Linked DNA regions of Arabidopsis thaliana. The protein of the gene in region 3 interacts with the protein of the main gene of each other region in a pairwise test. Each region holds a gene or a part of one and is shown on either strand. Other genes may lie near its edges. The genes, in order: PDH-E1 BETA, WRKY17, AT5G28900 and AT5G14390.

Evidence for each region.
Region 1: the proteins of AT5G28900 (region 3) and PDH-E1 BETA interact in a two-hybrid assay, tested with the Arabidopsis thaliana proteins (one large-scale study listed by BioGRID).
Region 2: the proteins of AT5G28900 (region 3) and WRKY17 interact in a two-hybrid assay, tested with the Arabidopsis thaliana proteins (one large-scale study listed by BioGRID).
Region 4: the proteins of AT5G28900 (region 3) and AT5G14390 interact in a two-hybrid assay, tested with the Arabidopsis thaliana proteins (one large-scale study listed by BioGRID).

What each region holds. Positions count from the first base shown.
Region 1 is NC_003070.9:10,582,750-10,589,979, forward strand, and holds PDH-E1 BETA (pyruvate dehydrogenase E1 beta), read right to left. Parts: upstream 3,932-7,230; 5' UTR 3,729-3,931; coding exon 3,620-3,728; intron 3,499-3,619; coding exon 3,392-3,498; intron 3,313-3,391; coding exon 3,281-3,312; intron 2,574-3,280; coding exon 1,601-2,573; 3' UTR 1,356-1,600; downstream 1-1,355. Other genes in the region: NUDX25 (nudix hydrolase homolog 25), read left to right, coding at 1-16, 121-171, 497-589, 677-771, 850-1,072; AT1G30130 (DUF1365 family protein), read left to right, coding at 4,917-5,215, 5,531-5,642, 5,776-5,868, 5,958-6,158, 6,243-6,473. UniProt on the Arabidopsis thaliana protein: The pyruvate dehydrogenase complex catalyzes the overall conversion of pyruvate to acetyl-CoA and CO(2).
Region 2 is NC_003071.7:10,435,697-10,442,206, forward strand, and holds WRKY17 (WRKY DNA-binding protein 17), read right to left. Parts: upstream 3,774-6,510; 5' UTR 3,527-3,773; coding exon 2,868-3,526; intron 2,377-2,867; coding exon 2,248-2,376; intron 2,158-2,247; coding exon 1,980-2,157; 3' UTR 1,657-1,979; downstream 1-1,656.
Region 3 is NC_003076.8:10,922,919-10,932,180, reverse strand, and holds AT5G28900 (Calcium-binding EF-hand family protein), read right to left. Parts: upstream 6,547-9,262; 5' UTR 6,330-6,546; coding exon 6,177-6,329; intron 5,431-6,176; coding exon 5,203-5,430; intron 5,113-5,202; coding exon 5,007-5,112; intron 4,925-5,006; coding exon 4,825-4,924; intron 4,710-4,824; coding exon 4,604-4,709; intron 4,518-4,603; coding exon 4,427-4,517; intron 3,633-4,426; coding exon 3,491-3,632; intron 3,400-3,490; coding exon 3,252-3,399; intron 3,123-3,251; coding exon 3,013-3,122; intron 2,930-3,012; coding exon 2,773-2,929; intron 2,641-2,772; coding exon 2,515-2,640; intron 2,433-2,514; coding exon 2,289-2,432; 3' UTR 2,279-2,288; intron 2,144-2,278; 3' UTR 1,719-2,143; downstream 1-1,718. Other genes in the region: AT5G28910 (alpha-(1,6)-fucosyltransferase), read left to right, coding at 1-166, 245-494, 665-1,548.
Region 4 is NC_003076.8:4,635,504-4,642,708, forward strand, and holds AT5G14390 (alpha/beta-Hydrolases superfamily protein), read right to left. Parts: upstream 4,333-7,205; 5' UTR 4,073-4,332; coding exon 3,771-4,072; intron 3,139-3,770; coding exon 3,102-3,138; intron 3,002-3,101; coding exon 2,765-3,001; intron 2,673-2,764; coding exon 2,625-2,672; intron 2,534-2,624; coding exon 2,048-2,533; 3' UTR 1,784-2,047; downstream 1-1,783. Other genes in the region: AGP6 (arabinogalactan protein 6), read right to left, coding at 585-1,037.

The DNA.
Region 1 (7,230 bases), on a different chromosome or scaffold from region 3:
CAACTCGGATAATCTGGTAACATTTTCATCATTTAGTTAAGCTCTTTGATTAATTACTGTTTTTAATTTGCCACTGGTAATAATAGTACTCAGTTTATTGACCATGATTATCATTCACAGGTATTTGTAGCTTCTAGATTGAATGTTCCAGGAGCATGGCAGATGCCACAGGTGTGTTTTATTCACTCACTATGACATAAAGTTTTGCGAGTTTTCGATATTTTTTTCTCTGTTTCTATGTCCTTTTATTGGCCAAAAAGCCAATGATTCAAAATATTCATGGTGTTGTAACTTTTGTTGTTTAGAGAAAACGTAGCAAATTACTAATGTTTAACACCACTCTAATGAAAACATGGTCAAGAATTTGATAGAGAATATTTTCTAGATTGGTGAAGTAATCAACATTTTCGAAGTAGTCAAAGAGTCTAGAGACTGTTTTCTCTGCTTTGCATTTATCTCTGAGTTTGAATAGCTCACTAAACTGAGGATATTACAGGGAGGCATTGAAGATGGGGAGGATCCAAAGTCAGCAGCCATGAGAGAGTTACAAGAAGAAACTGGTGTTGTTTCAGCTGAAATCGTCTCTGAGGTCGCTAACATTTAAGTTAACACTTGCGCGAACCGATATGAATCAGAGGATATATTTACTAATGTGGGTTCTTTAATGTCTAAACAGGTCCCAAATTGGTTGACATATGATTTTCCACCAGCAGTAAAAGCAAAAGTTAACCGTCTTTGGGGCGGTGAATGGCATGGTCAAGCTCAGAAATGGTAAGCCCTTCGATACTACTTAATTTCGTGAAAGCAAAGAATGTGGCTCATTGTTCTGAAACTTAATAATTCCTACAGGTATTTAGTGAGACTGAGGAACGATGAGGACGAGAAAGAGATCAATCTAGCGAACAACGAAGCGGATTCAGAGTTTGCGGAGTGGAAATGGGCGAAGCCAGAAGAAGTGGTAGAGCAAGCAGTGGATTACAAAAGGCCAACCTATGAAGAAGTCATCAAGACTTTTGGTTCGTTCTTAAACGACACAGGAAGAGCTGCTAAATGTAAATCAGCCAAGTGGTGATATAAGATACCAAGAACCAATGTTTGTCTTTTTATTTTTTTTGTTAACTGTTGTTTTTCTTTTTTTGGGCGGTTCTTTTTAGTAGAACCCTTTTGGAATGCAAAAGCTTTCTCTAGGGGTTTTTTACTTTCATTTTTGTAAATTGGTTATTGGTACGTAGAAAGTTTTTTTGTTTTATTTTAACATGGGGGTCATTGTAATAAAGTCGTTGTCTGGATTCAGAAGGAAATGAGTTGTGTATGTGTTTATAATAAGTGTAAAGAAAATTCTCAGGTTAAAATTTATTGTAACTAGCACCATGAACACATATAAAGTGTAAAGAAAATTCTAAGGGTCTAAATAAAAGAAAGTGGGAGATAAAATTAACAAACAAACATTCTGAGTTACAAACCATATTAAAAGACACAACAAAGGAGACAAACTTTAACAAAAACAAACCATCTTAGACAAATTCTTTAAGAACTAAGCTACAGAGAAAGGAAATGGAGAGGTAAATGATAAATAATGGTTCATCGGATAAATATGAATTTACTGGCAAAGCTGCTCGACAGCGGTCACGATCTGAGCCGGTTGAACCACGGTCCACTCCTCCAGTGTACCAGCGTAAGGTGTAGGAACGTCTTGAGAAGATAAACACATCACCGGAGCATCTAAGTAGTCATGAAAGTTCTCGTTGATGGCAGCTGTAAGACTTGCCCCAATCCCACCGGTTCTCATACACTCCTCCACGATCAAAACCCGATGTGTTTTCTTCACCGAGTTTCCAATTGTGTGAAGGTCGAACGGTTTCAGTGACCTGATGTCGATAACCTCGGGGTCATACCCTTTGTTCACCAGAGTTTTTGCTGCCTGCATCACATGGTACCTCATTCGCGAGTAAGTGAGGATGGTAATGTGCTCGCCAGGTCTGACCATCTCAGCTTCTTCAAGGTTACAGACGTAATCTTCATCCGGGATTTTCTCCTTGAGATTGTAAAGCAGCACGTGTTCGAACAGAATCACAGGGTTCTCGCTTCTTATTGCGGCTTTCATCAACCCTTTGGCGTTGTAAGGAGTTGAGCAAGCAACCATCTGGATCCCAGGGATGGACTGAAAGTAAGATTCTAACCTCTGTGAATGCTCAGCACCAAGCTGGCGTCCCACTCCACCAGGTCCACGGATGACAACCGGGATCGTAAACTGACCACCGGATGTGTAGTGAAGCATTCCACAGTTGTTGGAGATTTGGTTGAAGGCGAGGAGGAGGAAACCCATGTTCATACCTTCAATAACGGGTCTTAGACCAGTCATGGCAGCTCCAATGCCCATACCGGTGAATGCATTTTCACAAATAGGAGTGTCGAGAACCCTGAGGTCACCAAATTTATCAGCAAGGCCTTTGGTTACCTTGTAGGAACCTCCGTAATGGCCAACATCTTCACCCATAACACATACATGTGGATCTCTGTCCATCTCTTCTTCCAGACCTTCCTGAAGAGCCTCGAAAAGCAATAGTTCATGTCTGTAAATTCATACGAGAAGATTGGTCACACTTTGTATTTTTGACAAAAAAAAGGCATCATCATGACACTTATATTGAATATGAGCATGGAAGTTTAAAGGTAGATAAAGAAAATGTGCTATTTGTGACGACTAATACATGAAAGAAAATGCCATGGTGACATCATCATGGATTGCTTATGTGAAAATGAAGACAACACACAAACCCCTAACAGAAACATTCACTAAATGGAAAGTCGCATAATATGTAACAGAAGCCTAACCAATTGCCGTATGATGTCCAGAAATGTTCTTGAGAGTTAAACTATGTTCATGGGAATGAACTAAATGGTTTAACGGTTTAACCTAAACATTTGGCATCATAAGCACAACCAAAGGCATCACTAGAATGATTACTGGAAGCAGACATGCAACACATTAAGCTTTTGCCATCACTATCAACTATAGATTAGTGTTTTGACTACTCTAGAACTGGCTAGGATCCTACATCACCACACCCAATAGCACATAGTTAAAAACTTCCTCATCGTTATCCAACTTTGAATCCCCACTAAAATGTAATAAAACTACTGAAACAATCTAATCATTTAGAACAGAACATGAAAGATCCAATTAGAGATTTGTTCAAGCAGTGTCTAAATCCTTCAATGAGCACAAAAGAGTAAAATCAAAATCGAATTTGCAAAGCTAAAAAGGTGCAAAACAAACCCAGTGCTCGCAGACGTATCCGCCTCCTTCGTCTACAAAACAAAAACGTACATCATTAGAGATTAGAAGGAGAAACCATAAAAATCACAAAATCGGAGACAAAGACATTACCGCAACAGCATTTGGAATCAATTTCTGAGAGTGACGAACTCTAAGTCCAGAACCAAAGCTCTTCTTACTCGCATCAGATCCAGCCACTATATATCTCTGGCTCCTCACTGCATCAAAATCAAACAACGAAACTGCTTTAAGATCTCACAAATCCATCTCAATAGAAGCTCCAAAACACCAGAAATCGAAATCAGAGAATGCAGATCGATCATCAAATAAAATTCGAACCTGAAAGATTTGTGCGAGAAGGAGCAACGAAGAGTTTCTTGGAATCGACGGAATTAAACGTCGATAACGTCGTCGTAGCAGCTCCAGCTCCATGGATTATCGAAGACATTTTTTATATGCTCAAAGCTCGGGACAATTTCGAAGAATTTTGGACTGTTAATATAAATATATACAAGTGTATGCAAACAGAAAATGGCGATACGAAACAGTGACAAGCGGAGAAATCGAAGAATTAAATGAAATTGTCGAAATCGAATTAAATTATGTGTATTGTTGTTGTGCAATCAAATCCACATGTTTACATTGTTTTCATCGAACTCATGTGGCTTCTCTATTGTATAACAACCAATGTTAATTTAACACGTGTTACTTAACGACTGGATTGGCACGTGTACGTATATGATTTGTGGATTATCACTGGGTTTGCTTAACCACCTGGACCAACCTAATTACGTTAACTGTGAGATTTGAGGTTTCCACCGATCTAGGAGTTGATGGGCCTCAAGTGTCTTGGCCCAGTAATTAATAGATCAGTATTATCCAGTAAGCAAATTTTCGTCAAAAAAGAACTTTTTTTTTTCTCCACAAAGAACAAATTTTCATAAGCGAAATATAAACGTAACTAAAGCATTTACATTGAGTCTCTCTAGTCTCTACCAATATATTGTTTTGTATATTTTATACTCTGATTTGTAACACATATATGGTAAAATATTATTTTAATGCGATTATAAAAAATTTACCAATCAAATGTATGCAGTTATTTATTTTATTATCTGATTTTTTTTTAAAAAAATTATTATCTGATTTTCTAGTATGCAGTTTTCATTCTACGAGTTTTAGTTCTGTGAATTCTCATAATGCAAATTTTTATAAATTTGAGAGATGATTTAATTATTTATCCATATGCAAATACATATTATATACAGTGGTTTAGTAACGTCCACGCAACAGCCACGATTATACGATAAATACCCTATGATAATAACTGGTTGCAACATTAAATAAAACAATCCTTTTTGGCTTTTGGGTCCACACAACACAATAATATACTGTCACTGAAGATAACAATGGCCTCTATGAGACAAATTCTAAATTAATACTAACTTATAGCATTTTAAAACGGCATTATTAGATTCAAAAATAATAAAAGTAAATTACTCGTTAAATTAATACTTATCGTTAAACGTGGCATTAAATCATAAATATACCAAACCTCTGCATTTGAAGGGTCATCAATGTCAATCTCTGATTTTTGAAAAAGATCAGATAGAGATAGAGAGACAGAGGTAGAGATATGGAATTGCTCTTTCTCCTCTGTTCAATCATCTACACTTCAATCACTTCCATCTTCTTCTCTCTTCTCCTCCCGTTTCGCTTCCTTCTCCACCGTCTCCTTCCTTCACGCGCCGCCGTCGATCCTAATGTCTCTTTCTACGAAGGCACAGTCTGGCACGACCGTCTCCGTCCTGTCCGCCACTCTTTCCGTTATTCCGTTCGTTACGCACTCTTTGACCTCGACAAAGCTATTAACACACCGCCGGATCATTTCTCCGCCGACGAAGCTCGCCGTGTTTCTCGTACCACCGGGCCAATGTAAGTTTGTTGACTCGTCCAAGATCGGAAGAATCTGGATTTTGATACCTAGAACTGAAACTTTATAATGCGTAATGTTTTTGAGGAACAAACAAGATTTGAAAGATTCTGTTGATCAGGAGTTAGTTAGATTTGCAAAATTGAGTGTTTTTTTTAGTTTCTGTTTGGTTTTATGGTTATGTTTTGCTCTCTAACAGTGTAGTTTGGTTGTTTTTGTAATGAAATTGTTAGGTGAATGAATCTTTATCAGTTCAGAAATTGTAATTGTGATAGAGGAAGTAGTTTTGATGAATCTGTAATTTTTTCGTGGTGCAGATTTCTATTGACAATACCACCAAGCGTTGGATATGAACAAAACCCATTGAGTTTATACTATTGCTATGACTTGGAAGGGTCAAGTAAGCGCTTAAGTAAATGCATTGCTCAGGTATATGAATCAGAGGTTTTTGTTGTTCCTCTGTTTCTTGCTTATGTCTCTCATAGTAATGAAACCTTATGGTGCATTGGCTTTATTGGTATTAGTGTCTCTATCTATTGATCTGATTAGAGGAATTTTGTAGGTTACAAATACGCCGTGGGGGGAACGAGTGACATTTGTATTTGACCCTGAATCTGACTTGGTTGCTAAATCATTACAAGTCAGTCCTTTCATGGTATGTTGTTGTTCTTTGATATTATTAACTTCTTTGATTGATGTTTTATCAGTTTTGTGTGATTGATTAGAGGTTAAATAACCTTTTAGGATATGCTTGGGAATTGGAAAATCAGAGCTAATGAACCTGGAGATGATTTATCTGTCTCCATTGCATCTCAACATCCTCATTTCGGTAACTATTTCTCTGCGACATTAAAGGCGAAAAGGATACCCCTATCGCGGGTGTCTGATCCCGCTGTTTTCTTCTGGTTGATGCCTCATAAGGTTGCGATATGGATCTATTGGCATGTAAGTGACTTATATTTACTCAAAAATCGTTTTAAGTACAAATACTCAAAACGTTGATCAACTTAACGTCATTTCGTTGTTTAGGCACTTCAACTCTGGTGGAAGAGTGTACCTTTCATTCAACACCCGAGATACTCGAACCCATCATACAGGGAGGAAGCAGCGAAACGCGATCAAGAACTTCGTTGCCCCGGGTTAGATGGGTCTGATTCTGATAAAACCAACAAATTTGATGGGTTAAAAGGAGATGGTTGTAGTAGTAGTTTTGGAGGATGTCGCTTTGCGTGGCGAGATGCGAACTGGCCTTGGTCATGAATACATACACTCTCAAGGTAATAAACACACTATCTTTTCACTTGTCTAAAAATGTTTAAAAACCTGAACTGATACTAACCTATTCTTCATACCTGAAAATGACAACAAATTATGTTCTATCAAATCCTGAAATATGAAAGTTACACCCATTTTTGGTCTTTGCTCAATGAGAAAGATTTTGCAGGCTTCTTTTCATCCTTGGAATCATCAGTTTTCTCTTTTGATTTAGGGGGTAGCAGATCATCAAGAGTTTCGGAATTTACGGTCATTGTCCAATGATATGATTGGTATAAATCATTTGAAAATCTCGTCTCAAATTTAGTTGGCTTGTTTAAAATTTGGCTTGAACACAAGTGAACCTTGTTGATTAATAGAAAAATCAACTTTGCATTTTGATTGATTCGTTTGTAATAATTCTCATCTCCGAAAATCCTAACCTCTGTTTGTTGATAAGTCTTCATGTGATCATGTGACTTGATTTCTTGCAAGTTAAAAATTTGTATATATGTATACGATATATACTCTTACCCTTAGGTCTAAAAACTTGTGTTACTAAACTAGGTTGTGATTAGTCGATGGTATATATTGATTTTTCATGTATTTTCTTTTGAGTCATTATAGAATTTAAATGGCAGCTACAATGGCTCTTTTGAGTTTAATTTAAAGCTGTTGACAAAAAAAAATAGTTTAAAAGAGTATTTATTTTTTATTTAAATAAAGTGTGTTGTTTATTATATTATTGAGTTTGTAGTAGTTG
Region 2 (6,510 bases), on a different chromosome or scaffold from region 3:
CTTCTCCCATAGATAAGACCTTTTTAAGCCACAATCAACAAATTATCAACCAAGTAACAACACTTTATAAACACTAGTAGCATTAGATATGTGAAGATCTCAATCGTCTTAATTTCTAGTAACAACCACAAGCACAAAATCGATTTGAAAAGGAATCTGATCCGAAGCTGGAGGGGCAATATCATATCCAAAACATCCAATAGAACAAAACTTCAAAATACTCATAAACAAACACTGCAAAAAGTATTCAATTATGACCAAGTATGACATATTAATCAAAACTTTGAAATACACATAAACAAATGCAAATATGTGTCATACCTTTAGTGAGAACTTATGTTCCATAGCGCAAATGTTCCTTAATATTGTTCCAAAAATTATTTGTCTTCCAACATCATAATGATTTCGTTGACCCTCAAATCCGCATTAATTCATATTGTTCAACCTCCACATCTAATATCTCCCAACAACTCATTGAAATCTCTTTTTGACTTTCTATAAACTTACATAATAGTCAAACATTGCATTAACAACCCCATTCCAAAAGTCTAACCCTCCATTAAATCAACGGGAAAAATGTCAATTAATCCCCTAACTTTTAAAAAATGGCCATTTTATACATCAATTTCGTATGCGGCCGTTTAAAACATGAACTAAAAGTTGACTAACTTTTAAAACATGATTATTCGTTGACCAGGCCAAAAAAGACATGCCATTATCAGTCATTAACGGAACTTCTAACGTCCGTTATCATCCGTTAACAACTTTATTAGTCAAGTTATAAATTGTGGTCATTTTAAACATCGACTTTATATGTGGCCATTTTAAACATGAACTAAGCGTTGATTACCATTTAAAACATGAGAAATTCGTTGACCAAGCCAAAATAAACATGTTGTCATCATTCATTAAAAGAACTTATAACATTCATTATCACTTGTTAACGACTCTATTAGTATCCCTAAAACGACTTTGTTTTGAGAGTAATCAAAAGAAAATCAGGATTGTTTTCTAAATGAAACCCTACTTCCCCAAATCTATTTTTACAACCGCTCAAACAAGACGAACAATCTTATAATGAGTCTTCAATTTGCTTCCATGATTCCTTTTAAAATTTAAAACAAATATATAAACGAAAACACCTTTATTTGCTTCCAATTACTGGCACTGCGATTATCTCTTTATCAAACTATGTTCTTGGGTTCTGCTTAAAACTTTTTGATATGGAGATTTCATATGGAAAAAATCTTTATGTTCTTTCGATTATTCTTGAACGACGTTATTTTGGACAGATTAACAGTCATTAACGGGTTTCTAGGTTCTACTGATAAAGACATGTCTATTTTGGCCTGGTCAACGAATTTTTCATGTTTTAAATGGTATTCAACGTTTAATTCATGTTTTAAATAGCCACATAAGAAGTTGATGTTTAAAATGGCCACAATTTGAAACTTGACTAATAAAGTTAACGAATGATAACGGACGTTAGAAGTTCCGTTAATGACTGATAACGGCATGTCTATTTTGGCCTGGTCAACGAAAGATCATGTTTTAAAAATTAGTCAACGTTTAGTTCATGTTTTAAACGGCCACATATGAAATTGATGTATAAAATGGCCATTTTTTGAAAGTTGGGGGATTAAATGACATTTTTCCCCTAAATCAACCATCACAAATCATAACTAGATCAAACAGAGTAATGGTAACTTTACGAACCATATCATTAAATACATATGCCTACACATTTATATACCAATTACTTTGCTAAACATCATTTTCTTACATGACACCACTAAATATATCAAACAAGAAATTATGAAAATGTAGTAAGAATTTTTTCTTTCTCGGTAGTAAGATTAAAATCCATTCAAAAGACTACTAAAAAAAAATCTAAAACTAATTTTGTTATAGAAAAAAAATTACAAAACCAACCCCTCTATTTCTCAAAATATTACAAAACTACCAAACTAATTAATTCTTCAAGCCGAACCAAACACCAAACCACTCACGCTAGGAGTTACATGCTCCTGCATCGTGGACTGGTGATGACGGTGCTCTCCTTCGTACGTCACAATCAACATCGTTGAATCATCCAAAGCTCTTTCCACGTGTTTCCTCGCTGGACATCCTCTAAATGTACTACACTTGTAATAACCCCTGAAATCAACAAAAACAAATCACAACCGTTAGATCTCCAATGTTTCACAAATAAATCAACGGTGGATAGCGATGGTGTACGATAGTTACCGTGGATGTGGTGAGCCTTTGATCGGTTTTTGTCCATACTTTCTCCATGAATATTCGTCTGGTGGTATATCGGCGATCTTTGCACTTACCGCCGGTACTCTCACGGTTCTCTTCATCCGATTTTTTCGGCTGTTAATTAAATAATAAAACATTGTAATTAGTGAAATGATTTAACGTGCGCTGACACGACTAACGTGAACATGCATCAGGTTAGCAAAAGTCAACGGGCAGACAAAGACTTTTAAAACGTAAAAACTTTCCCTATACAAAACGACAGCACCCACTAACTTGTCCTTGTCAGGCGTGCACTTTGGTTTAAGTTACTGTCGTTGACTTTCACTAAATACATTGACCGATTGGTTTAGATAGTACCAAACCGGTCTACAAAGTATTAAACCCGGATTTTTATTCTTTATTTTTTACTGAGACTAGTTAATTTAACTAGTAGACTTGTTCATGATTGACAAATTCGAGGCAAAAAAAGAATTTTGAAATCTGAATTCGTGATATATTTTCACTGAGTCCGTGAGCGATTGGTTTAGACCGTATCGAACCAAACAATTAACTACTACTAGGCTAGTCAAACAAATGATTAATTTATTGTGGAGTAATAACAATACCTTTTCTTGCAATGGCACTTGCCGTTGCCGGAGCCAGAGATCTTGCCGGAAAAGCCTTCAGAGTGGTCATGTTCAAAGCATCTCTTCCTGTAAGGAAGACCAGAAAGCGGCGGTTTCCCGGAGGAAGTCACTGGCACCGCTGGAGCCGGAGCAAGAAAGATCGAAGAGCCTTTAGAGACACTTCCATCACCGGTGATCGCAGAAGACATGAAAGAAGAGTTAGAAGATACGCTAAAGCTCTCTTTAGCAAACTCAACAACCTCCGAGCTCTTGGTTTTAGCGCCAAAAACGCTCGGTCTAGTGAAATCTAACGTCACGCTTTGTTGATTTGCCTGAACGAAGCTAACCGGTGCTGGAGCAGAGATCTGAGTGGGAGCCGGAGTTGTCACTTTCACCGGTGGAGGAACGGAGGAGGAAGGAGGGGAATGAACCGGACCACGTCTAAACCGGGCGTGACCGGAACGGTTAAGAAGAGAGATAACTTTCTTGAACTTAGAAACTGTGAAATCAGTGATCTCAGAGCAATCAACGTTACGTTCTTCGGGACGGTTAGAGAGGACACGAATCAAGTGTTCCATGCTTTTTAAGCCTTGTGATGCAGCTTCTTGTATAGCCGTTTGATCTTCCATCTTAGGTAAACGCATAATATCAACGGTCATGATGAGAAACCAGAGGAGAAACTTGAAGATCTGAGAAGATGTGCAAGTTTTTTTTGATGAATGAGAGAGCGAAACTGGAAGAAAAAAGAATGGCGTTGGCGTGATATATGGGGTTATGGGTGTGACCGAGTGACCGGTTGAGTAGGTTTAAGATGGAGTTTAGTCAAATCGGTGCTTTAGATCTAACGGCTGAGATTGAGTTGAAGATTTCTATGGAATAAAGTAATCAAAGTTTGGTCTCCTTGAGTTGTGAGATATGTAGGGTCTTCTTTTGTGCAAAGCAAGAATTTATAATCGTGTCTTTAAAATAAAGGAATCATTGTGCGTAAACTTGAATTTGGGGAAAATGGTGGTAAAGGAATTTCAAAGAAACAAAAAGTCAAATAAAAAACATTAAAGGATGGTGTCTAAAGAAAATCATAAAGCTTTTTTAAAGTCTCATATCTATTTTTTCTTTTATTAGGTATCTTATGTCTTCAAGTTCAAGTCAATAAATTTAAAATTAAAGGTAATGAATTGTTTTTATTTGTATGAACAATTGGGCTGATTTTTTTTTGTTTCTTTGGAATATTAGAAGGTCTTTAACCAAAATCCATAATTTATTCTTGAACCAAATCAAAATATGTAATATTAATTTCATCTCAAATCACATATTTTTCTTTAATAGGACTGGATTTTGATAGAATAAATTTTCAGCTAATTGTAAAATGGTATTAATTTCTTTTGTGATTTTGACTTTTGATAATATATTTTATGTTTTTTTATTTTATTCGTGTTAAGTTTTAGGCGTTATTCATGTTCTTTTTATGTTTTTGTGTTATTTTTAGCTTCAACCAACACTACAACTTGTCAATATTATATGGTGCACACATACCAAACTCGTGTTTGCAGCATATTTTTATTATTTCAATTTCTTTCTAGAATTATTACTAATTTTGCAGTGCATTGACAATAATAATTATTTGAAAATAATATTTGACTCCCATATTAACTTTGCACCTAATATATATTTTTTTTTTCTTACCTCATAGCCTTCTAGAAAACGTCTTGACTGGAAAACTAGTAAATTGAAAACAATCTTTTCTTGACTTTTAATTTTACCTAATTAATCTACACAGATTGTGGAACAATTAACAATCATTAATAGAGATTAAAGGCTATAATAACAGCGACAATCGTTGACTATATCTTATTAGTATAGTCTACAAGTCTTTAGTTGAGAACAGCGATAAAGAAAAACGACAAAGTAGGAAAACAAAAGCTGACTACAAATAAAATAAAAGTGATCACATGGACGCATTTCTTTTTAAAACACAGAACTATTGACTACCTCGGTAACCGAGTGATTCCGGTTAACTATTATCTGGGCCGTTGATAATCCAAAAGTTAGATCCAACGGTGGATCTGTGAACTGTGGAGTTGACTCTTTGATATTATTCTCTTTAACTACTTTTTTTTTGAGAATCTAAAAAACACCTTTTACCACGGCAACTGATCTTCCGACACGTGGCAATTCTGGCTGACTCATAAATTGTCACCTGTCCACAAGATTCTTTTTTTTTTGTTGCTTATAGAAATAAAGTAAACAATACCAATACAGTTAGGAATGGAGGAAATTAAATGAATAAAAAGAGCCAATTTGCAGCTCGATCTAATCCTACTTGAGGAGATAATTTGAAGTTTTCTCTACATTTTTCTAAATAAGGTTTAATTGGTAAATTTTTAATCGCATTTATAAAATGGCATATAGATTTTAGAAGATTTATTACTAATCACCAAAGCAGAAACATGAGTAAATATTAACATTACTATAAATTACTTTTTAATCTTTTGTTTACTTTCAAACTTCAGTTAAAACAACTCTTTGTTTCAATACACCACCGTTTTCCGGTGATTTCAGTTTGTCGGAATATACATGTTTCGATAATTTTGGTATATGCAGTGTTTTCTTGTAGTTGTTATATGCAGTGTTTTCTTGTAATTATACTTATTCAAAAATTCCAAAGTTTTATCACTTGTAGAAGAAAATATCAACCATACTTACTTAGCTGAATTCTTTTAAGCCAAGAAGACTACATGAAAGAAAAAGAAAAAGAAAATTACGACGTGTTTTCTTTGTCAATGATATATGACGTGTTATGTGTGCAAAAACAGACCTCAAGATGTATAATTGAAACATTTTTAAATATTTGTCAACGGAATGCATTATAAATTAGCGACATGGGAATCGTTGACCTAACCGACTAATATATATGATTGTCGTGCACGTCTACATTTTTTTTAAAAGCATTTTATTTTTTCATTTCTGATTTTGTAAACTTTTACTTACTTTTAAATTCCTTTTCTATATCAAATTTTAATGTCCTTTTCTAAATTTATAATTTATGAATCTCTAAAAATATATTATACTATATATTTCAATGTTATCTCCTCTAAAAATGTCTCCTTTATATCTTATCTAAATTATCTTTTCTATAAAATGGTCGCATAGAAATAATAATCTTCGCGTATTTGAAATAATTGTTTTGTTAGCCCATGCAAAACGAATGAGATCAAACCAGTGAAAGAAGACACATGTTGGGTAAAATACTTATTTTGTATATGTTGTATCTATGAATTCATACGGTACTAACGAACGAAGTTTTATTTTTTTTTGTTTTTTTGTTGTTTACGTATTTCAAACTTCCAACCATTGTTTTTTTTTTTTATAATAGTACGGTCAATATTGAATTTTTAATTATTAGTTAGTGGATGATAGAAATAATGCACATTTGTTATCAGAAAAATACAATATATAAGCCATGATGTATAATTATTGCTATTCACTCGAGAAGATTTGGCTTTATTTATGCCAAAGATACTGAGAAAAGATTTGGGGATTACTTAGCGAATTAGAGTTATCGATTTGAATAGTTTGTAGAAGTCAATGTAACCTCCACGAGATAAATTATTGGTAAATGTATTAATATCTATGAGATAATGAT
Region 3 (9,262 bases):
CTCTGCTTGGGATAATTTATTACTAAATGAAGAAGACTTCTTGAAGAAGGTAGGTATTAACAAATCCGATGTACCAAATGGTCCACATTTGGAGAATTGTGAGGAGAAGGCTCGAGTTAGGGAGCGTTTGGATACACGTTTGGCGAACTGGACACTTCCTCCTTGGGTATGCTTCTTCTTTTTCTTGTTCTTTGTCATCAAGCAATTAGTATGGTGAATGAACAATCAAAAGCTTGTGTTTTAGATCAGTGGAGGAGATGAAGAGAATTATCCGTTAACGAGGAGAGTGCAAAGAGATATATGGATTCATCAGCATCCTTTGGATTGCGGAAACAAGAGTCTCAAGTTCCTTGTAGCTGATTGGGAAACACTTCCTGGTTTTGGAATAGGAGCTCAGATAGCTGGAATGACTGGTCTACTCGCGATAGCTATAAATGAAAACCGAGTGCTTGTTGCAAATTACTACAACCGAGCAGATCATGATGGTTGCAAAGGTACATAAAGGCTTTAATCCTTTGAGTCTTCACTCTAACATATAGCAGCAACTATCACAAATTACATCTTCTTGGTTAATCTTCTTATCAAGATGTTTTAGACGCTGAAAAGTGTATATAAGAACCAAACTTTGGATTTGATTTGGTGTTTCTCTTTTGTTTTGATGCAGGTTCTTTTCGTGGAAACTGGTCTTGCTATTTTCTACAGGAAACGTCAGAAGAGTGTCGAAAACGAGCCTTTGCGATTGTGAAGAAGAGAGAAGCGTGGGAGAGTGGGATTGTTACAGGGAAACAAAATTATAGCACAAAGGAGATTTGGGCTGGGGCTATACCAAAGCAATGGGGTAAGCCTTGGAGTTATATGAAGCCAACTACAGAAATCAACGGAAGTTTAATCTCCAATCATCGGAAAATGGATCGGAGATGGTGGAGAGCACAAGCAGTGAGATACTTGATGAGATATCAAACAGAATACACTTGCGGTTTGATGAACATTGCTCGAAATTCCGCGTTTGGAAAAGAAGCTGCCAAGATTGTTCTTTCAGCTGGAGATTGGAGAAAGAAGAATAAGAAGATGAGGACAGAGATTGAGGAACAGGTGTGGTCGGATCACAAGCCGTGGCTTCCAAGGCCAATGCTGAGTGTTCACGTACGGATGGGAGACAAAGCATGCGAGATGAGAGTCGCAGCTTTAGAAGAGTACATGCATTTAGCTGATCGGATCAGAGATCGGTTTCCAGAGCTCAACAGGATCTGGCTCTCTACAGAGATGAAGGAAGTGGTGGACAGAAGTAAAGATTATGCTCACTGGAGATTCTATTACACGGAAGTGGCAAGACAAGTCGGTAATAAGTCGATGGCTGAGTATGAAGCGAGCCTCGGGAGAGAGATGAGCACAAACTATCCTCTGGTTAACTTCTTAATGGCGTCAGAAGCTGATTTCTTCGTCGGAGCATTGGGTTCCACTTGGTGTTTCCTCATCGATGGTATGAGGAATACGGGTGGGAAAGTCATGTCTGGTTATCTCAGTGTCAATAAAGATCGGTTCTGGTAACTTTGCGAGTTCCACACTATGTACATAATAAGACTCCTCTCCTTTTTTCTTCATCTGTTGCACAAAGAGTTTTCAGTATAATAAAGGGAGGTTTGGTTGACAAACAGTTCAGAGCAACCGCAAACCAACTAAACCGATTCCGATGTGAAGATTTGAAGATCAACTGAACAGAGCAAAGTGGCTTTTCCTTAAGAATTTCACAAATAAAAAGACATCACTTCAAGATCAATAGTAATAACACAACCAACCTCTTCTCATCTCAGTGACATCCTGTGTCTTCAGGAACCAACCAAAAATTAAAGGAACTATAGCATTGAAATTCACAAGTCTCAACATCTGGAGATGATGAAGTAACACCCAGAGATAGAAACATCAGAGCAAAGTGAATGCAATACAGGTGAAGAAGACTGTAAAATCTAGACGATTGTTAATAAATATAACTGTAGAATCAGCTAACAAATAAAGAGAAGTTAGAAAACAAATCCAAGCTAAGTATGGTATTCAACAGAGGATACTACCGGCTTTTCGTTTGTTTTTCACTTTCCTTCCTCAACAAAGCTCCAAATGTTCTTCTCAGGGACTTTACATTTCTCTTCTGCATGATTAAGTTATATTATGAAATAATAACATTTGCACAAGCATCAACATCAAAGTTTTTTCAGTTTCTTTTTTTTCTAATCCTTTTCCACTAGTTTTATCTTCTAGACACTACGGTTTTCCGTTGACTTACCTTTATGAACTCAAAAGGGAGCCTCCAGCGACGACTCATCCCAAACCTCAGCACTTCCATTAGATGCATCTTCAACATCTTCTTCCATTGATAGCCTAATATACTCTCTATGTGCAAAACGGTCCCAATCTGTCAATGTAGGGTTCTCTCGCTCCTGTTTCCGTTTGACATTAGAAATGTTATAAGACGCATGTGGTGGTGTGAAGAAGTAGCAAGGTAAATTAGATGATTAGTACCTGACGAATGAGGAATGGATCCCGGGTTTCAAATGCCATAAATTTGTTGAGATTAAATAGGATGTTGAAGACGTTTCCAGAGAGCTTTGAGCCTTTCAGGTCATGCAGCGTTATATGGCTTTCGTTCTGTGGAAGGAAATAAAAAACAATCAAACACAAAACAAAATCACAAGACTCAGAAAGAAAACTGGGAACACAAACTACTTCTGTGACTATACTAAATATAGAAAGAAGAAAACAAGAGATATATTGTTGAACCTCAGGTCCGATCATATCAATCATCTGACATAAGATATCCTCGAAAAGAACAGCCTCTTGCGCCATGCACTCCATTCTATGCAACTGCTCTTCATAAAAGAATTGCATCTCATTTCGCGTAATAATCCCATTTGCATCCAAGTCTATGCACTTAAACCTAGTCCAACGTATACTTGTGTCAGATAAAAGACTTAAAATGGTATCTGTCTGCAACTTTCGGACCCTTCTATCACAACTTACCAATATTCTAGGCTAGGCACTGACGATTTATCTTCTTCCGCAAGAATGAAATAGACAAAGTCCTCATACCCCATCTTCCCTTCAACTTTGTTAGTGAACTTCCTAGCAACCTGAGAAGAAACCAATGCATCTTAAGAGCAATAATAACTTTGAACGAGGAAAGAACTCTTAAAATAGAAGCAATATAAATAAAATCTTCAAGTAGTAGGCATTAAAGAGCAAGGTTTTTTAGACAGAACCTGGGAGAATATTCTGTCGACAATCCGGTAGGTAAGAGCATGGTTTCCATATCGCATAAGATTTTCTTTGTCAATCAGGAAATCGTGATCCGTATCCAGCTCCCAGAACTTGCAGTATATGACATAGAAATGCTCATACGAGAAGTATCTAATTGCCAAAGTGAATAGAAAAGTGATGTTAAATGAGCAAAAACAATACTATAAATACAACAATAGCACGCAAATATTTTTGTCAGTACCTCAACACTTTGTTAATATCTTCTTCTTCATCAGCATGTAGCATAGCATCAATTAAGTTTCCCCGTTTAAGCTCCCTAAATGTAATTCGACCATTGCCAGATCTATTTATGTAATAAAATATTCGGTAGGTGACAGTTTCAGCTGTTTCAGCAAAATACAAATTGTATCAGACAGAAAAGCATCCTTAAAAATTTAGCTTTGATACCGGTAGCAGCAAATACCAAAGAATATGGACTCCAGATATCTAGAAAGCAATCAAAGTGTTCTCGGGAATTCATTACTAACTGACGCATGATTCATAAACAAGCTCCAGAATTTATTTTTTCTGATATTGATTATATCTGCAGGATTCATAGACTGAAGATGATTCATTCCGTGCTTGAAAGCTTTATGGATTTGCAAGTTATAAGATGATGTCTAACACAACAAAACAAAGAAACCGTATCTTATAAAAATTTTAAAATCCATACAGAGTAATGCCACATTTATTACTGTATCTCGATGCATCAATTATCAAAATTATTTATTTCACTAGAAATATTATTGATGTGGTAACCATTCGACAGATTTAGATAAGTACATGGCAAACTTATTCACTCATTCTTCTCAACTAGGGCTGTAGCTACCAATATACTTCGAAGAATAAAATGTACAATCAAACTCAATTACTAAACACCATTACTCAAGCAATATCAAGAAGAAATACTATTGATCTGGTAACCATCTGACAGATTTAGATAAGTACATCATACCAAAGTGGCAAACTTATTCACTCATTCTTCTCAACTAGGGCTGTAGCTACCAATATACTTCAAAGAATAAAATGCACAACCAAACTCAATTACTAAACACCATTACTCAAGCAATACCAAGCGGAAAAAGAAAACATGAGATAACTTAGGATACTAAAAATGTAAATAAAGTTGAGACCTAACCATATCTTTCTTGGAATTCAGGTGTGGATTGCAGGAACTCTAGCCCAGGATGCGTCGCCAACAGTTCTTTGAGTAGTGGTTTGAAATCATCCTGCCATGAAAAAAAGAAAAGAATCTGGAATATAATAAACTCGCTCTCATGACTGACTGAATATGCAAATCTTAAAAGAAAATAACCTTAACAATGAAACTCTGATCTTTCTGCTTTAGTATCTTGAAGATTTGGGTCGTTGTATCCATTATCAACATGTTCCCGTTTACCCAAAAATCAATAAATGCATCTCTGTAGAAACAAACACGAAAAACTGTTATACTGGGTGGTGTTTCAGTAAACTATGCAGACATGAAGAGGAAGCACCATACAAAAAAAAAAAAAGCATAGAAGAAGCGGCACACACCTAGTAACAAAACCTGTATTGTTGAGATCGATCTTCCGGAAAAGGGAAGTGGAGAAGAAAGATGGGAGCTTGCAGATTTCTCTGGTGACTAACTTGAATTCTGAGTATTGATTGAAAATGGAGAAAAAAGTTAATAAACAGTTCAAATATAATTAGTAGAAAACAAATGACTGACTTCTAACCTTGTATCTGCAAGCCATCCATGTGACCATAAAAGAAGTGATTGATTCTAAACATACATTGCTCTTTAATCTCGCTTGGTGGAGGGCGACCATTTTGGAAATAAAACTAGAATCATTTCAAGTTAAGAAATCAGTGAGTTAACTCCATTCCATTACTATATATATATAAAGAAGGAAGAAAAAGAGGAAAAGAAACCTGAGGTATAGGCTCTTTAACAGGCTCGTTGACTACTTTGAGAGTAGAACCTAAGTTAGAAGGGGCTCTCTGTTTGGTTGTACGGGGTGAACCACAACTCCTTGGTGAAAGCGGAGGAGCACTTCCCGCAGGAAACATAGATGGTATAGTGGCAGAATTAGAACCCGATGCACTTCCAGTAACATTGATAGGAGCTCCAGCTACAGCATCCTTAAGCAATGATCCAACCTAGAAAACCAACGAGAAAAAGATTAGACTAGAGATTCCAGTGAATAGAGAGTAATTAAGCAACCAAATCTCATTAACCACCTAAGGCATCATTGTCATAACTCACACAATCCAAGAAAGATTCAAACTTTACACCAATCTTCAACACCACAGAGTAATTTAGCAAACAAATCTCATTAACGTAAGCTTCATTGTAATACTCACATAAGAAAATAAGAATATACGTCATAACTCACAGAATCAAAAAATGATTCAAACTTTACACCAATCTTTCAACACCACAGAGTAAATCTCAGTAACCTAAGCATCAATGTAACACTCACCAACACTATCAAAGAAAGATACGAACTTTACACCACAGAGTAATTAAGCAACCGAATCTAAGTAACCACCTAAGGCATCATTATAATACTCACTAACACAATCAGAGAAATATTCGAACTTTACACCATTCTCAGTAAGCTAAGCATCATTGTAATAACTAACACTATCAAAGATCCCAACTTTACACCAATCCTCAACAGAAACCAGAGAGTAATTAAGCAACCAAATATCAGTAACCACCTAAGGCATCACTGTAATACCCACTAACAGTATCAAAGAAAGATTCAAACTTTACACCAATCCTCAACACCACAGAGTAAGTAAGCAACCGAAGTATCATTGTAACATTACGAAAGAAAGATTCGAACTAACAGAGAGTAAGCTAAGAAGCATGAGTGTAAGAATAGTGAAAAAGCAGAAACCTGTCGCTGAGCTTCGGGAAGAGAAAGCCACTGGTCGAAGAGCTTCTGAGTGAATCCAGGTTTAGAATTGAGAACAAAGGAAGACATTTCCTGAAGCTGCAACAAATCTGCATCCAAACAAGCCATATCTCCGGGAATAACCGTATCCACCATATTTAATCAATCGCATCAAAGTCGAGAAGATGAGAGAATGATCTTTGAGGCGAGCGAAATTGGAATTTTGAACAAAGTCGAGATCTTCTTCACCAACACATCGAATCTAGTCTTCCTTCTTCTCCGATTCCGAACAAGGAAATGAGACAGCCAAATTCTTTTATTTATTTATTCTTTTGAGCAATCTGAAATAAATAAATAAATTAGAGAGATACCCAAAAAATACTTGAAACACAAAAAGTTGATTTTAAGGGTTTATAATTTATTAAATGTTTGGGTTTGAGTTAAGTTTTTTGGGGTTTAGGGTTTATTTTTTAGAGTTTAGGATCTAGTTTTGAAAACTTTAAAAGTAATTTTGTGGTATTTTCAGAAAATAATATATTTTAGTGGTACTTTCAAAAAAATATAAACTACTAATAATGTTTTATAACAAAAATTAATTTTATGGTATTTTTAAAAATATGTCCATAAATAAATTAATATTTCGTTGACTAAATAATAAAAATAAGTAAGTGTATTTGAAGTAGAAATTTTTTTTCTCAACATGTGGTTGGATTCTTGATTTTTTCTATATTTTGTCAACCACACATTAGTTAAAATATTACTTCATAATTGGTAGTCCAATCTTAAGGAAAAATATTTACGAAACAAATTTCATATAATATACTATCTAGAGTAACGAGTTAGACAATCTACCTTATACAAGAGCCATGGATTCTAGAAAGAAAGAAAGTTTTATATATCATATAAAAAATACTTGACGAATGAGAAACATATGATGTGTTTCATATCATGTTTTCCATATTTCATAAGATTTTCTTTGTCAATCGGGAAATCGTGATCTTTATCTTTATCACATAAATTATAATATATGACATAGAAATGCTCTTATGAAAAGTATTTTGTTGCCAAATAAATAGAAATGTGTTGATATCAAAAAAACTAACACAAAACTATAGTTTGCAAATACGTGTAACTTAAAGTCTGACTCAATATTTATAACAACAAGAAAAAAAAACTATTTTTGTTAGTATCTCAACACTTTGTTGATATCTTCTTCTTGATCACCATAAAGCATATCATCAATTAAGTTTCCACGTTTAAGCGTTCTAATTGTATGTAGATCATATCTAGATCGATTTATGTCATAAGATATTTTATAGGTAACTATTTCAACTAGTCCATGGAAATAAAAATTGCATTCTTGAAAACCTGAGACATGGTAAAATCTAATCAGGTTCACATAATTTTTCTTGACTAAATCACATATCATATATAATTCATGTACTTTTACCAAATTTAGCAAAATTATCCCCTTATTAACAACATTAACTAGGGAAAAGAAAAACTATAGTAATCTGTCATTCATCAGATCTCGTATGTTCTATATCATCTTCATCCATGTAATTTCTTTCTAGATTACCTCATTTGCCCACAAAGACATCAAAAGAGAAATTATGATGGTCACTACAAAACTTAAGAGGCAAAATATAACGTAAATTATATATATGAAAGGAGCTCAACTCTCTCCCACAACTTGACACATCAGCACATGAGAGCTTGCCACCTAGACTTATTAAAATAAGTAAAATATAATTAGTAATTAATTCAACATATGAACCTATCATAAGTAAGAACTTCAACCATCACTCTTTCTATATTTTTAAATATTTTCTTGAGCACTATTAACCTTAAATTTGTAACAAATCCTCTAACATGTTGATTTCATAACAAATTTAGCTGGTGAAATGTGTGTCGATCAATTAGAAAATATAGTTGTTTTTTATAAAATGATAGGAAGAAAAATAAACGGTAAATTATAACGATTGTGATTCTTTCAAGTTATTTTTTAACGTATGAAGTTCATATATGTTGGTATGGTGTTATTAAAGATATTAAATTATTATGATTATAGACATAGGCGATTGGGTTTAAAGTTTACAATTACGCTCACTTGGTTGGTTTTGCCAACACAAATCTTCCATTACCTGGTAAATATTTACTAAACATATGATTTTCTATTTAAAATATCTAAATATTAACATTAGTCTCAGCTTGAAATTATAAATATAATAGAAACATTATTGTATTATACGAATCTTAAATATTTACTATTCTTGGTTAATAACAACTGTGAAGAAAATAGAGAAGAAGAAAAAAACCAATAATCGAAATTACAACTAAAATCAAATTGAAAACAATACTAACCTGGTTTAGTAAGGCAATAAGTGTAATAAGTGATGTTACCTCGTCACCAGTGGGAAAGATAAGGAGGAAATACGCGGCGACTGAGCCAAAAAGCTGAGCAATCAAGTAGAAAATACCACTGAGGAGAATGATGTTACCTCTGACACACTGAGAAAGACACCGAATGTAACGACAGGGTTAACGTGGCCACCAGAAATGTTAGCGACAACAGAAACAAATAACAAGGAGACCTAAAGCATGAGCTAAGGCAGCGGCGACGAGGCCGGTAGGAGTGGTGGCTCCATTGTTAGTGAGCTTGTTGAAAGCAATTCCGGAGCATGAGCCAGCGAAGACGAAGATCAAAGTCGAGATAAACTCTGAGAGCACAACCCTAAGTGCGTTCAGATAATAGACCTCTTATTGGAATCCATAAAAGGCGATGTTTCTGGTCACCATGATTGGTGAATTATTGAACAGCTGAGGTTAAAAGCTTTTTGATAAAAGAGAGTGAAGATATTGGTTTGGTTTTCGTATATATATGGCCGAGTGTTTTATACTTCTTAGTAGTTGTAGTTAAAATCCATTTGTTTGTCATATAAACATATTATTTAGCATTTTTCAAATCAAATTTTTAAAACAAATTAAATTGTTTTTAATTTGGACAACTATAATAATACATTAGGTGCATGTTTTAAATTGTAACAGAAAAAGAAAAATGAAATTTACAGATATTCGAATGTAATTTT
Region 4 (7,205 bases), 6.3 Mb from region 3:
AATTAAGACGGATGGAGTACAACTTATCTATTAATTTAAATTTTTACATAACTTTTTTTAATAATCAGTCAAAAAACACACAAACAAATATTTCCAAAATTTAAATATTTTCTATGAAATATTTAAATATGTTTCTAAGCTTGTATTTACACATTGGCTGACTTTGGCACCAAAAGAGGTTAGTACATTAAAGCATCCTAAATTTATTAACTTGATTAAAAATGTGTAATAGCCTTTATCATGAATATTATAAATAGTACACAATTTAGTATTAGCCAACAAAATTTTAAAATAAAAATGTAGAAATATCCATTTATATCATTCATGATATCTAATTCACAACACATGACAATAGGAACTAAAAGACCATTAGACCACACAAATCATAAGCATTTCCAAAAAAAATAAGTTTATTAAACAAAATATGAAAATTTGTTCTAACCAAATTTCAAAATGACATTTAGGTTTATATTTACTCCAATTAATCTCGATTTATAAACGTATATATAAAATAAATTTACGGCCTCAACTCAAAAGATTATACAAATCTCTGATCCATCCAACCAAAACGTGGACGACTTAACTTAGAAAGAAAAGAAGAAGAAGCCGACGGTGGCGACTGTGCCGACAACAGAGAACTTAGCAGTTGTCACGGCACCACTCTTGGGTGACTCTGCAGTGGGTCCATCGCTTGGTCCATCAGCGGCGGAAGTGCTGTCGGGGGTGGGAGCCGGTGGGGAGGAGACGGTAGGTGCCTCAGCAGAGTCGCTAGGACTAGAGGCAGAGTAGTCATCCTCGGGGACGGGTCCTTCGGCAGCCGGAGAAGATGCTTTTGGAGAAGAGGCCGAAGATGATTTAGGTGCGGCGGCTGGAGCCTTGGTTGGAGCTGAAGGAGCCTTGGTTGTGGCAGTCGGAGCCTTGGTTGGTGCGGCAGTGGGTGATGGAGATTTTTTGGGAGAAGCTGAGGGAGCGTCGGCGGCGAAAGCGGTGGCGATAGTTAAAGTCAATAGAACCAAAACGACAAATTGACGTGCCATTTTTTTTTCTGTTTTAATAGTTTTTTTATTGAGATTAAAAGGAGGATACTCCAAAAGCTAAAGCAGTATTTTTTATTTATTTATTTTTGTTTTATTTTTCTTATTCTATGGAGAAATACTGCAAAAGCTTTAGGATGTAAGAATAAGACATGGGGGTGTGAATTTATATGTTTTTGAAGATGAGAAAAATTAGGGAAATTGATGGATATGAGAGAAACGATGAATCTTATAATCTACTTTTAGAAAGTACTTTAAAATTAAACAGGACTAGAAACCAATTCTTCTATTTATGGATTCGTACACAATTTTTTTTTTTTTGAATACTAATATTAGTAGCTGAGACTGAGATTTTGACTTTTGTTTGATTCATTGATTGTATTGCAGAAAATTAGAATTAGAGTCTCAAAATACATTTTGGGCAATCTTAAAGAGTTTACTGTACTTTCGAACTAAGCCCAAATTAAAACCCCAATATGAAGACACAACTGACACACAAGTCATTACCAAAGGTCCAAAACATACAAACTTCTGCATGGTGAAGTTTTCTGGGGCTTACGGTTTCGAAGACATTTGTTAATGTTCTGACAGAGCTAGAAAACAGACAACTTCTCTTTAATTCTATCTTTTTGTTTGTGTTATATGCATCATTTTTTTGTCATCATCGTTTGATGTGCAGTGCAGTTTTTAATTCCTCTTTATTTTATTTGCAATGTTCGAATTTTCTTCCTTTTCTACTCTTCAAGACTCGAGTCATAAACCAAGCATGATATTACGAGTAAAAGTTGGGTCAAATAAATTACGTAGCAGGTTATTGTAAAGACCTAATTTCTCTCATTTGTTTGCTTAAGATTTAAGCTTCACCATTCAAGAAATGACACACCCAAATAAAACTAGAGAATAACTCACAAATCAAAACAAAAAACCATAAACATTAGAATGGCCAATCAAGATCAAGATCAAATGTTCTTGTTCTGTAACAACTTATGTACGTGTGGTAGATTTTCTCCGGTTTACTCAGACCGTACTCTATCCAATCTATCAACACTCTTCCTTCCTCTCTCAATCTGATGATGATTCTGATGATGCTGATGATGGTCAACGCTCTTCCTTGCCTTTTCGTGGAAGTCAACGCTTCTCCTAGTCCGATCTAAGTGCTGCTCGAACGTGATTCTCAGCTTACTCTTCTTTGAAGGACCCTTTGGAGGTTTCTCTTTCTCCCTTTTATCAACGCTTTGCCTCGGCTTCTCTCTTCTATCTACGCTCTGCCTCGGCATTTCCAAATCGCTGCTCTGTTTCTCTAATTGGGCCGTGCTCGCCCTCGAGGAGAGATCTCTCTCTACGGTTGTGATGAACTTCTTAAGGTGTTTAATGTATTCAGGATAGTGTTCTAGATCACAGTGGTTACCGCCTTCGAGCCAAAGCGGTTCATATTTCTCTTTAGAGAGTTCCCATAGTTGTTTTCCATGAGAACAGTCAACAACTTCATCACAAGTTCCCTGCCACAAGAGAAGAACCACAAAGAGTTATATACACTCAGTTTTCGAACTGAAAAAAAGGAAAAGAGAGTAAAATGAATATGGAACTCACGTGAATGACGAGAACCGGGCAATTCACAAGAGGTATTTTGTCGATATTCTGCAAATATTGTTAAAAGTGGACACTGTGAAAAAGATAGAGGAAAGCAAGAAAATCGAAAATGATCCATCTAAGAATGATGTATTTAATACCTTGAAGATGTCGAACCAGTATGTCTTCTTCACTGGATACATTACTCTTAGACCAGAAAGAATCGGGCTATGGAGAACAGCAGCTCTTAATTGAGGCAACCGAGCAGCAAGATCTAATGTAGGTCCACTTCCAACGGATTGGCCATAAAGGATTATGTCTTCCTGTTTTGCTCCATAGGTTTCCTCAAGACATTTATAAGCAGCTTCGATATCAGCATATGTATGGTGCTCACTTGGCTGCAGTCACACGAAAACAAGTTCGGTTATTTAGTTTTTCACTCGAATCGGGTAAAATCATTATCGATATCTCTACTTGTCGATTCTCAAAATGACAAACCTTTCCAGTAGATTGTCCATACCCGGAGTAATCGTACCTACAAATACAAAAGCAGAGAAGCAACATTTATAGAGCTGAATCAAGAAGCTATGAAGTTGTTTTGGTTTTTAATGTTCTCAAGGATCTGAAGTTGAGAGATGCATTGGTTCATAAAGATTATTGTGAGCTAATTAAAGTTTCCACACAATCTGAGACATAGAAAGAGTTTAAGCATCTTAACGCAACCAAGTTGTATCCACTATCCAGAGAGAAACACACAAGAAGACAACAAATCAAAATTTGGGAAAAGACAATGAACAATAGACTCAAAAACAAGTAAATGTATATAAATGTTTCAACCAAAAGCTTGATCAGCAAAAACTCGATACAGAGAAAAATCATAATAACACAAAAGAACAATCAAACAGTGTATCAAAAGAAACCAAGAAGAATAAACAAATCTCCAGAAAAAGAAAGAAAAACTCCAAATTCATTCGTTTTCACTTAGCAAAACACCATTAATACCAAAACCCACAAGGGACCAGATAAAAAATTTCTAAATAGCCATTAAAAAAAGTCTATGACTTTGATCAAATCCAGATACAAAACAGAACACAATTTCAGAGCAGAAGAGCTAATCATCATCATCAGAGCTATCTTAGAGAGAAAAGGACTAAAACTTTAACATACCCCATGAGATTAACCTTAAGATGGATGCTCAATTCGATGAAGAGCTCATACATCTGGCCCAGATCGGCGGCGTTTCCATGGGAATAAAGCAGAGTAGAGGTAGCCATCGGATGTCTGACGTACATAGCCACGATCTCTGTTCCTCTACGTGTCGGAAGCTTAAGGATTTCAACGTTTTCACGGTGAGGAAATGGGTTCATCAGAAGAAGTCCGGTCAGTTCATCGTAAACCAGCTTGTAAGACGACGGACTCGGCGGGAAGAAAGCGAACTTCGCCGCAACTGATGACGTCACACCTCCCATCTCTCTCTCTCTCTCTCTCTCTCTCTCTCTCTGCTTCACAGTCTCTTTTAGATGAAGAACATTTTTGTAGCTGCTGAAAGATTTGAGATTGAAGCTTTTGCTTGTCTCGGGAACGGAGAGAGAGAGAGAGGATTTAGGAAGAAAAAGTGGCACTTTGAAATGGTAAAGCAAGAGAATGAACAAAAACTGTTTATTAAAGTTTCGAGCTTTGGCTTATTATTATTTTAAAATTGCCATATTTTAACTACAGAAAATTGAAGATTACTTTCCCTGAAAAATGTTTTTTTATGCAATCTGAAATTAAAAGAGATTAAGATATTAAAACTATAGAGATTCGCAGACGAGTTAGAGTTTATATGTCAATGGAGTTACATTTTTTTTATAATGTTACTTTTGCAGATAAAAAGGGGTTTAGAGTAATAATTTAGCGTTGGTGGAGTGATAAATCAAAGCTTATGATTAAACATAAACATGTGTATTTTTATAGCTAGGAATGGCGAAATATAAGAGTGAGAGAACATGAAAGGCACTTAAATGTTATGATTTAATTGGACAAGAAATAAATATCAACAACTAACGATAAAAATATAAATATAAGATGACAAAAGAATGAATAATAATATTAGTAAGCTTTTTATTGTTAAGAAAAATAAAAGAATAAGGAAGGGGTATGTATGTATGTTGGTTTGCTTAATGCGGGTCCATGAAAAATTAGAAGCGGAAAGCAAATTTTGGAGTGGTGGGTCTTCACTCATTCATGCCTTGTGTGACAGCTTATCATTTTTAATGTTATTTTATCAATTTAATAATTATTATTATTCGTAAAAAGAATTTTAAACTTGTGCTGTAATTTCTTATATTTCTATTTTTCTTCTTCTCATGATATATACTATTTAAAATTATTTTACAAACTGTTGTTGAAAAAAAAAAGCTATTAGAAAAAATCAAACCTCTGGAAAACGATATTATTCTGAAAATGATAAATTAATTAATAACACAAATCTTGTTATATAATGGGCCTAAGAAGTTGTACTCATGGGCTTCGTCGAGGAAAACCTTAACGTCGTGGTGGCAACAAGTCAAGCTTGTGAAAAATGAACCTTAAAAGAACACAAGTGAAACTCACATACTTTTTGTTTAACCTGTTAGAAGAAGAATCTTAGAGCATCTCCATTGGTGAGATACTTCATGAGTATCTCATAATATATTATTAATATGTTTATGTTTAATTTAAGTAGAAAAACTTATATTAAAATTGTGCTTCCATTGGTATGAGTATCTCATTAACATTAACATATTATTATATGTTTTTATATTAAATTTAATATCTCTACAATATTTTCAAACATATCAATTATTTATTTTTACAAATTATATTATTAAATAGTTTTATTATTTTTAAAACCATAATTAAACATAATTAAACATTACTTTACATATAAAATCATAATAAAAAATATATAAATTAAACATAAAATTACATATAAAACCATGATAACATAAATTAAATAGAAAAAATATATAAATTAAACAGAAATTACATATAAAACCATGATAACATAAATCAAAGCTAACTATATTATCTATTATGGTTTTACTCTTCATTTGATGATGCACCAAACTTTTGTCATATATGCTCAACTAGGTCATCTTTTAGTTGTTGGTGCATATCTCTATCACGAAGTCGAATTCGATTGCCGAGAATGTTGCAAAATAAAAATAGAAAATTTTAAATGTTTGTTTTCTAATTAAAAAAAGCTATTGTATTTTTAAGTTATTATTATGTTTAATGCTTAACTAACACCAATTAAATAATATTCGTATATAATTTAAACATATACATGATAGAGCTTGTTATATAGATAATTTAATTTTATGAATTTTTAAAGTAAAAATAAAAAAAATAACAAACATATAAAGTATTTAATTGATGTTATAAAGTATAGATAATTTTATTTATAACAAAGAAAAGAAATTAATAACAAGGTGACATATGGAAGAGAGAGAAAGTTTCTCCAAGTTTCTCATTTCAAAAACGATTCTGAGAAAAACTGATTAAAAAATTATTATTTTCATATTTTTGATTTATTTTTATTTGGAGTTTTTCAGTGAGAAACCACCGATGGAGATGGTCTTACTTGCTTACTTCGACAAAAAAAAATCTTAATATATATAAATAATTTATGTCTGTTGAGTACATCATCACATATCTATAATCAAACGATTATATAGGATTTTAATTAGCTGTTATTTTTGTGAATAGCATGCGATCAAGTGAATGAAAAGCGAATTATAGATGAAAACAACAACGAATGTAAATAAAAGTCAAAAGATAACGAAAAGTGTCATTTACGAAGATAGAGAGTTTACTTTGAAAGAACATAAATTTATACCAACAAACTTATTGCATGAGGGTCCCAAATTACGTACACGTGCGTCAATTTTTCATCATTTAGTTTCTTACATTCCTCTTTTGACAAAAAAAATAAAAGTTTCTTACATTCCTCTTATATACTTTTTTGTTCTTCTGCGATCTGCATTCTCAATTATTTTGTCTGATTGACTCGATAAATTTACGAGGTTCTCTTAAAAAAATGTTTACACGAAGTATTTAGATTTTCCTTTGTTATTTTACTAGCTAGTTAACCATGAAATCATTTGAGAGGACAAGAATATATATAAAACATTATTTTATTCTCAGTATCAAAAAAAAAAAATTATTGTTTTCATAATTTCAATTTTTTTTTTTATGTGTTCTAGTTTTTGTTAACACTATTTTTCCCAATGAAAATTATTATTAAATAACAATGTTTTGGGATTGTACATAAATAATAATAATAATAATAATAAAAATAATAATGTTTTGCATACCGCCGTTTTACCATTTTGATTGTCAATTCTAAATATATTGTTATCTTTTATAGTTATTTTTTATTATTAAAAAAATGTGTACTGTTTATGTCAATAGTAGAATTAGACAAAGTATGTGCAATCTTTTTCGCAATATTCCTATTTTATTAGCAAACAGTAAAAAAAAAAAAAAAAACAAGTAAAACATTTGTCATAGTCTAGTTATTAATTATAGTGAAATCATATGATTATGTAATAATCATGTTTTTAAATACTAATAAGA